Linked DNA regions of Sus scrofa. The protein of the gene in region 1 purifies or fractionates together with the protein of each later gene. This does not show direct contact. Links are inferred from orthologs where the notes say so. Each region holds a gene or a part of one and is shown on either strand. Other genes may lie near its edges. The genes, in order: VAMP5 and STX12.

Region 1 (4,429 bases):
TCCATCACTGTCACTTGTCTCAAGAAGAGGAATTTTCTGGAGGTCTCAGCATACAGAAAATTCAAAACCTCCCCCAACATTTTAGGGTGGTATGTAAGACTCCCAGTGGCCCTCTCTTGCCATTTCCTTTGTTACTTTTCTGCGGGAAGTGTTAGCTGAGATGGGAAACCTACCTGGGCTGACCCTTTCGTCTGGTTAAGGGCCTCCTGCCCCTCCCATCAGTGCTCTTTCTCTTCCATGGCCCTATTGTACTCTAGAGGTGGGAGGTGGGGTGCGGGGTGTTGGAGGAACTGAACTGCTTTTCCGTCTCCTGTGGTTCTGCAAGTTCCATTTGTCTTTTGTCTGCCCCTGCCCTCCTGGAGCTTAGCAGGGCCTCTGGGTCTCAGCTGTCCTGAGGGGGCAAGCATCTCACGCGTGTCCCGTGGCCGGGCACAGTCAGTGTCACAGGACAGGGCCTATGGCCTTCCTTCCCCTCGACGGACAATGGGCCTCTCTGTCTTTGGGCCTCCCTCCTCCCTACCAGGTTCCATCGTCATTGTCACTCTTTCCGGTACCCAGTCTGCCTTGGTTTGAGGGAAGGGTTTTCATCATCTCTGTCCTTGTTTCCCCCATAGGTGTTCCACAATTGAACCTGTTTGGGGGAGGGAGTCCAGAAGGGCAGGGGTGGGAGACAGGATTTGAGACTTAGTACTGGCAAGTTGGGTTCTAGAATCATGCTCTGAAAACTAGGAAGGGAGGAAAGCACAGATGAGACCCCCACCCCAGTCTTTTTTTTTTTTTTTTTTCTTTTTTTTTAAGGCTGCATCTGCAGCATATGGGAGTTTCCAGGCTAGGGGCTGAATTGGAGCTGGAGCTGGACCTGCTGGCCTACGTCACAGCCACAGCCACGCAGGATCCAAGCCATGTCTGAGACCTACACCACAGTCCACGGCAACGCCAGATACTTAACCCACTGAGGGAGGCCAGGGATTGAACCTGCATTATCATGGATACTAGTCGGGTTCTTAACCTGCTGAACCACAACGGGAACTCCTTGCTGTGATCTTTGTCACAACCATGTCCATCCCCTGTCCTCAGTCCACTCCTGGACTGGAGCTCCGAGCAGCCTCAGCCATTGCAACCCAGACTCACCGTCCTGGGTGGGGGTGGGGTCTTTGTTCACTGGGATTCATCCAGGGAGAGGGAACTTTAAGCCTCCTTCCTTAAAAGGGGCCACCTCTGAGATGTTGGGGGTGGCAAGGGGTGCGGTGGAGAAGAGGTGGCAGGTGGCTTCCCTGAAGCACTGAAAGGAGAGGCTGAGGATGGACGGATCCAGCTCAAGAAGGCTCTGGAAGGACTGGACACACCAACCTCCCTCATCCTCCCATTGAGGAACAGGGGCATATTAGGGCAGGGTTGCACTTAGCACGTGGTGAAAGGGAAGTAAAGAAAAAGCTAGAACTAGGGTTGGGGAAGGGGCTCTCTGTTTTCTCTTTTGATTGAGGTGAAATTCACAAAACATACAATCGACTGTTTTATAATGTACAATCCAGTGGCAGGTAGTGTATTAATACCATTTATTGTGAATAAAATTTATTTGGTTTCAAAACTTTGAGGAGGTCGTTTTTAGGGTGATGGGTAATTTGCATTCATCAAGGTGGGCAGCGCCTAGCACAGGGCAGGGCAGTGGCACTCCTACAGGTTCCTGTTGAATGAATAAATGATGATGCCTCCCCAGGTCAACCCGATCTACCAGATCTGGGATGCAGCTCTAGAGAGGACTCCTTGAGCCCACTCCAGAGCCCACTCCAGCGGGCCCCCGAGGTGTAGACCTGGCACCAGGCTGTCCATGCAGAGCCCCCACTTCACGAGGCTGGGGAGTCGTTCGCGGCCGGGCGCCGGCGGCGGCGCAGGGAGAGGCACCGGCCCCGGAGCCCAGAATCCTTCGCCGGTCGCTTTCGATTTGTCTTGGTCACGGTCGCGGCGCAGGGATCGCGCGCCCCCCGCCCCCCGCCGAGCCGGCCCCGCCCTCCGTTTCCTCCCTGGTCCCTGGCACCGCGGCCGCTTGAGGGCAGAGGAGCCGGAGCTGACGAGGTGGCGGCAGCAGCGACGATGGTGAGAGCCCGGGGCTGGGCGGCGGGCAGAGGGCGAGCGACGTGGGAGTGCGAGGCGATAGAACGAAGTCCAAGGGCCCGGGCGTCTTCCCGGAACCCGCGCTGGTCCCCCAGCGAGGTAGTGCCGGCCAGAGCAGGACCAAAACAGACCCTCCGCTCACCTCGCGCATCCCGGGAGGGAAAGTGGGGCGTGCGCGGGTCCCCGCAGCTCCGCGCCAAGAGAACGGGACTCTGGCTTCCCACTTGAGGGGGCCAAGTGGTTACAAGCACCGGCTTCGGTGTCAGACTCCGGGCAGAGATCCTGTTGGTGGCCACTTACCCACTCTGTGACCCCGGGCAAGTCACTTAGCCTCCCTGAGCCTCCTCTTCCGCATGGTGAAGTGGGGTCAGCAATACCGACAGCCTTGCTGGGTCCTCGGAAGGTTAGAGGAGAGACGGTGGCAGAGAGCTGCCTGGTACTCAGAACCTGCTCCTGAGAAGTGGTGGGTAATATGATGACCTCTTCAGCCCTTCCTGAAGCTGTGAGGAGCCAAGTCTGGCCCAGGGCTTGGAAACCTGAGCAGATGGGGTGGTAGAGGCCATGCCAGCCCCTGTGCCAGGGTGTTGGAAGGCAAACTCCTCCCCCTGGGGAAAGAGAAAGGAAGATGTTTACTGTAAGCGTTCCACTGAAGTTATCAGGGGGTGGCATAGCCTGACTTGCTTCTAGCCCCTATCTAGGGACACATTCTTAAGTTGAGTCATCCCCCACTCCTGCTGTAGACTTGGGCCTCTGTTCCCACTTGCCTTCTCCAAGGCTAAGGTGTCAAGAATAGGTGGTACTGGAGGCTTCTCTCTGCTAGAACTCCCTGGAAGTTGGGCCCCGGCAGGCGCCAGCAGGCTGGGTACTGGGATTCTGCCCGTGGAAAGCCAGCAGAGGTGTGATGGATGTGGCCTGGCTGGGGGTCTGGATGCCTGGATGGCCTCATCTCCAGGGACCTGGAGGCAGGAAGAGGAAGCGGGGCAGGAAGGTAGCGTGGAGCTCTGCAGCCACGCCAGGAAACTGAGGGAGGCTGGAGAATAGGACAGACCCCAGAGCCCACTTCCCAGCGGGTGGAGCAAAGGATCAGGCAGGGTTAGGGTAGGCTTGCAGCTAACCCTTAAGCACTTGGAGAGAAGAGGAAACTCTGCAAGGCTGAGACTAAGATCATTTATTGGAAGGTACTGGAAAACTCTGGGACTCTCACAGGTTCATCTGAGGAAATGATGCATCTGAGCCCAGGGAGGGTACACTGATGCCTGTCTCCCATCCATCTCCTCGCTCCTTCCCTCTGTTTTTTTTTTCTTTTTTTTCTTCTTCTTCCAGTTTTTTGGTTTTTTTTTTGTTGTTGTTGTTGTTTTGTTTGTTTGTTTGTTTTTGGTCTTTTTGCTATTTCTTGGGCCACTCCCGTGGCATATGGAGGTTCCCAGGCTAGGGGTCGAATCGGAGCTGTATCCACTGGCCTATGCCAGAGCCACAGCAACGCGGGATCCGAGCCGTGTCTGCAACCTACACCACAGCTCACAGCAACGCCGGATTGTCAACCCACTGAGCAAGGGCAGGGACCGAACCCCCAACCTCGTGGTTTCTAGTAGGATTCATTAACCACTGCGCCATGACGGGAACTCCTTCTTCTTCCAGTTTTTAAAGTTTTATTGGAGTATAGTTGGTTTAAAAGGTTGTGATAATTTCTGCTGTACAGAAAAGTGATTCAGTCATACCTGTACACACATCCATTCTCATTAAGATTCTTTTCCCACATAGATTATCACAGAATACTGGGTAGAGTTCTCTGTGCTATATAGCAGGTCCCTGTTGACCAATCATTCCATATATCTCAATGCGCATGTGCCAACTCCAACCTCCTCCTGCCCCTCCCACCCCGTTCATCACTCCCCCACCCCTATTTTTTCTTTCACTCCTGCCCCTTCGTCAACCCCCGGCACTTTCCCTTCCTTCTTCACATCTGCCTTGCCTACTTTTCCTTCTTTTCCTTCCTTTCCCTTCTTTCCTCCTCTTCTCTGATTCACTCACATAACAAGTGTTTCTTGGGCATTTTCTTTGTGCCAGGCATGGTGACTGGCATAGGAAACAGAGTAGGAAGAAAATATTGATGGGAAAGACAGAAATTTAATGAGTAATGACTTGACATCATTCATCTCATAGATGGTCCTCTCTCAGGCCCTGTGCAAAGAATTTGAGTTTTGAGCCAAACTCACATGCACACAAGTTGAGCTGGCAGCATCAGAAGGTCTGGTGAGTCTTTAGCCAGCCAGCTAAAGCATTTGGCCTTTCTTTACCTGCATCCAGTTCAGCATAG
Region 2 (4,375 bases), on another chromosome or scaffold:
GCTACAAAACTGTAATATTAATTAAAAACTATAAAAAGGCTAAATGCTGGTCATAAGACACAGATCTGGTTTCAAATTTATGTTTTGCCATTTGCCAGCTGGGTAATTATTTAACTTTTCTCAGCTTGTTTCCTAACCCCTTAAAAAGAAGTAATATTGGTAATTGTTTCACGGGGTTGTTACAAAATTAGGTAAAATAATGCATGTAAAGCACTTTTTTTTTTTTCTTTTTATGGCCACACCTGCAGCATATGGAAGTTCCTGGGCCAGGGGTTGAACTAAGGCTGCAGCTGCAACCTATACCACAACCACGGCAACACTGGATCTGAGCTGCACGTAGGACCTAGACCACAGTTTGCAACAACACCAGATCGTTAGCCCACTGAGCCAGGCCAGGGATTGAACCTGAATCCTCACAGTGATGATATCAGGTCCTTAACCTGCTGAGCCACAGCAGAAACTCCTATAAAGCTTATATTACCTGGCATACAGTATGTACTCAAATGTCAGTTATTAATGTTATTAATAGTTGAATTCAATTATCCACTTGAGCCTGATGCCCACTTTTCTTGAGGCCCGCACCTGCAGCATATGGAAGATCCTGGGCTAAGGGCTGAACTGGAGCTACAGCTGCAGGCCTACACAACAGCCATAACACTACCAGATCCAAGCTACGTCTGTGACCTACACCAGAGTTCATGGCAACACCAGATCATTAACCCACTGAGCAAGGCCAGGGATCAAACGCACATCATCATGGATACTAGTTCGTTAACCACAGAGCCACAATGGGAACTCCCCTCATGCCTGCTTAATCAACAGATAAACTTTATCAATTCTATCACCAAAGATACCTCTCCTATCCTTTCCTTCCTTCTTTGCATTTTCAGTTCCTACCTGGTGTCCATGATTCCAGTCGCTCCCTTCCAACTCAATGTACATGTTTCTAAAGAATTAAATCCAAGCCCCCTTAGTTTAGCACTTACAGTCCTCCATGTTTGGGCCTCGACTTACCTTTCCAATCCTATTTTCCACTACTTTCTGGAATTCACCATTCTAGCCAAATTAAATCACTCTACTTTTCTATACACACCACACGCTTTCCCACTACTGCACCTTGTTCATTTTATTCTCTTCTTTAACTGCCAAAAGTTCAAATCCTTCCCACCATCTTTCCAAACCTAGCTCAAATGCCCAAACACCTCCCCCGGCCCCTCCCAAATGAAAAAGGTGTCTCTCTCCTGAATATCTATAATTTTATTACACTTCTTCTATAGTACTGATCTCTTTCAACTTTTTATTTTGGTTGTTATGTATGCCACGGATTCCCTGTTAAAAGAACCCATGCCAGTTCCTATACATACTACATGCCTGATACTCAAACAGAAGTAGAATGAACATTTCACAGATAGACATTAAAATGAGATTTGGCCTCAACAAGAAACTTTCAGCCCTGAACGAGAATTTTCTGATCTAATCTGGGCTACGGCTCCCTCACAAAAGGAAATTGGAACACAAAGTACTATACTTTCTAACCAGTGGTCATATTAATTTTTGTTTGAAATTTCTGCAGTTAATAGACCACATATTCTTCTTTCCACTTTCCAAGCATCCAGGCTCAAACGCTTTCCATCAGAAACTTTCCCTAGCTCAAAATTCTACATTATACATTTAAATTTAAAGCAAAGTGATAGATAGAACATAACTGTAATTCAGGGCCAGCTAGTTCTACTTATTAACAGAGGACAACCAAGCTCACAAAAACACAATAAAAAACAAGGATGATGATGATACCATTCTTTCCAAATAGTCGCTGCTGACCTCTTGTTTACAAGGTTCTGAGCTGATTTTCAGGCACAAGAAATAGCTTGTATTTGACTCATTCAACTGCAGTCTCATTCAGACCCTAATGTTGGATGGTGTGTAGTTTTAAGACAAGCAATGACATTCTGAAATCCACCACCAACTCTGCCATGTCTTACTTGCTAGCTGATGGAGACTAAGTCCCTTTGCCTGTCTCATGTTAGTTCAAAAGAGTAACTAAATGGGGAAGGAAAACAAAACCCTCATTGGCTTGAAATCCAAAAATATATGCATATCTTTTGCTACAAAGACAACGTAAGTTGAAATGTTTTCGGTGAAATCTCTTTATTAAAGCAGAATCTCACCCCTTAAAGTCATTGTGTCTGATTTCAAAATCCATTACAGAAAGAACTGGGTTAAAATCACCAAAACATATGCACTCTCCACTTCCCTTAATTGAAAGCTGCTGACGTCCAAGAAGCCAGAAGCTGAGCAGAAAGTAAAGTCTAAACCAGTAAACAACTCCAGACCCAGACCAAAGAGGAAAGAGAGGTGGGTGGAGGGAGGCAGATGACAGGAAAAACTCGGCTGACCACTGCACCACGTCGACTCACTTAGTACTCTGGAGAGGACACATATACACCCTCCCACCCCGGAGTTGTCAGGACTGTAGTCCTGGCCCCAACACCTTTAGGGCAAAACTCTTGAGAAGAAACTCGAGCTTCAGCTGGGGCTAGGGACTCTCAGGGAGCCTGGGCCTGGCAGACTCGAGGATGGCAGCCCGCCGCACCCAGAGCGGAGGGCCCGAGACGGCCTCGGCTGTGGCCTTGGCCGGGCTCCGCGTCCCGGTAGTCTCACCCAGGCCTGTCCCCAGGATGGTCCCCGCCCCCCAGCCCGGTACCCCGGCTCACTGGCTTGGCTGATCCGCTGGATGTTGCCACTGCACGTCTGGATGATGCTGTTGAAGTCCCGGAGCGGGGGCCCCGAGGCCCCCGGGTTCCGGTACATGTCTAGGGGACCGTAGGACATGACGAGGAGCCGAGACCGACTTGCCCTGCACCGCGCTCCTACCGGAAGCAGCCGCCAGACCCGACCCGCAGGCTGACAGGGAAACCGGGAAGAGAAAGGGCTGGGAAGGGGATGAAGCTGCGTGCGCACTAGCCCCGCCCCCTCGCGGCGCGCACGCGTCCGTCCCCGACCCGACCGGCCCCACAATGCGCAGGCGCTGTTGGAACTGGTGCCGAGATGGGTAGCTTGGAGACCTGACGCTCTGGGGCTTGGGGATGCAGGGCGGAGCGATGACATCATACCTTTGGGGCTCGGATTGGAGGATCTGGGGTGGCGGTGTTGTTTATCGCCAGGGCACGGTGACAAGAAGGCAAGAATTTTTCGATTAGCATAAAATTGTACCAGATGATCTCAGCCCTAACGTCCTATTCTGTTCTATTCTGAGACTTCAGGCCCAAATATGGGAGAATTTGATAACCTTGAAGCTCAGATGCGTAACCAAACTCCTGAAATCCCTCACTCTGCTTCCAGCCTCAAAGGCTTTGGTAGGATTTGTGGAGAACTTTTATGGTTTACAAATCGCTCTCATTCTACCACCCCTCTTGTAGTCTCGTAGTCTAAACAATAAAACGATAATAATAATGGTAAGATTTATTGAGCACATATTATGTGTGACCCCTCACTGCAATTCAGTTGTTCTCTCTCTCTTTTTTTTTTTTTTTTTTTTTGCCTTTTTTGCATTTTGAGTGAATGACCTCAATGTTCCCATAAAAGACTGCATTTTGTAAGCGTATGATAAATGGAAATACAGGGGTAGGATTTTGCTTTGGGAGGAGATCAAGATAGACGTGAAGGCGAACTGGCAGTGTTTGTTTCCTGTGTTCTCCACCGCACCTCACACCAAGTCTGCTTTACTATCTCTGGGAAATAGCCAAGGCAGGAAGCTGCTTGCCTGAGTTGGGGGGGACACCCCAAATGGGTGAATGAGCCTGCATTCAGCCTTAGAACTTTTGTAAGCAAGGCTATCTCTATTTTCTGTTAGAGCATTTGTAACAGAGGTTTTTTGTTTTGTTTTGTTTTGTTTTTTTCTTTTTAGAAAAGGACAGATGACATTTGACATTTAGGGGCTCTCATTCTGGTTATTAAAACCCTACCATTTCTTAGAATCCATAGTTTTATGTCATATAGCAAATCATGTAAATTTTACTTTTTTACCTATAAAATCTTCTTGAGAATGTTTTCATTAACATTTGACTCTATTTAAAGTGAAGTTTGGAGTTTCCGTGTGGCTCAGTGGTTAACGAATCCGACTAGGAACCATGAGGTTGCAGGTTCGATCCCTGGCCCCACTCAGTGGGTTAAGGATCTGGTGCTGCCGTGAGCTGTGGCGTAGGTCACAGGGTCTGCTCAGATCCTGCGTTGCTGTGGCTATGGCCGGCAGCTACAGCTCCAATTAGACCCCTAGGCTGGAAACCTCCAAATGCCACTGGTGTGGCCTTAGAAATGACCAAAAAAAAAAAAAAGATTTAAAAAAAGTGAAGTTCAGTAAATGTATTTTTCTCCG

What was found.
Region 2: the proteins of VAMP5 (region 1) and STX12 purify together in Homo sapiens (affinity purification with mass spectrometry; 3 studies listed by BioGRID and IntAct, with this or other methods). This does not show direct contact. The link is inferred for Sus scrofa from reciprocal best matches to the Homo sapiens genes VAMP5 and STX12.

The regions. Positions count from the first base shown.
Region 1 is NC_010445.4:59,182,889-59,187,317, reverse strand, and holds the start of VAMP5 (vesicle-associated membrane protein 5), read left to right. Parts: upstream 1-1,614; 5' UTR 1,615-2,091; coding exon 2,092-2,094; intron 2,095-4,429. UniProt on the Homo sapiens protein: May participate in trafficking events that are associated with myogenesis, such as myoblast fusion and/or GLUT4 trafficking.
Region 2 is NC_010448.4:84,917,414-84,921,788, reverse strand, and holds the start of STX12 (syntaxin-12), read right to left. Parts: upstream 2,963-4,375; 5' UTR 2,833-2,962; coding exon 2,715-2,832; intron 1-2,714. UniProt on the Homo sapiens protein: SNARE promoting fusion of transport vesicles with target membranes. Together with SNARE STX6, promotes movement of vesicles from endosomes to the cell membrane, and may therefore function in the endocytic recycling pathway.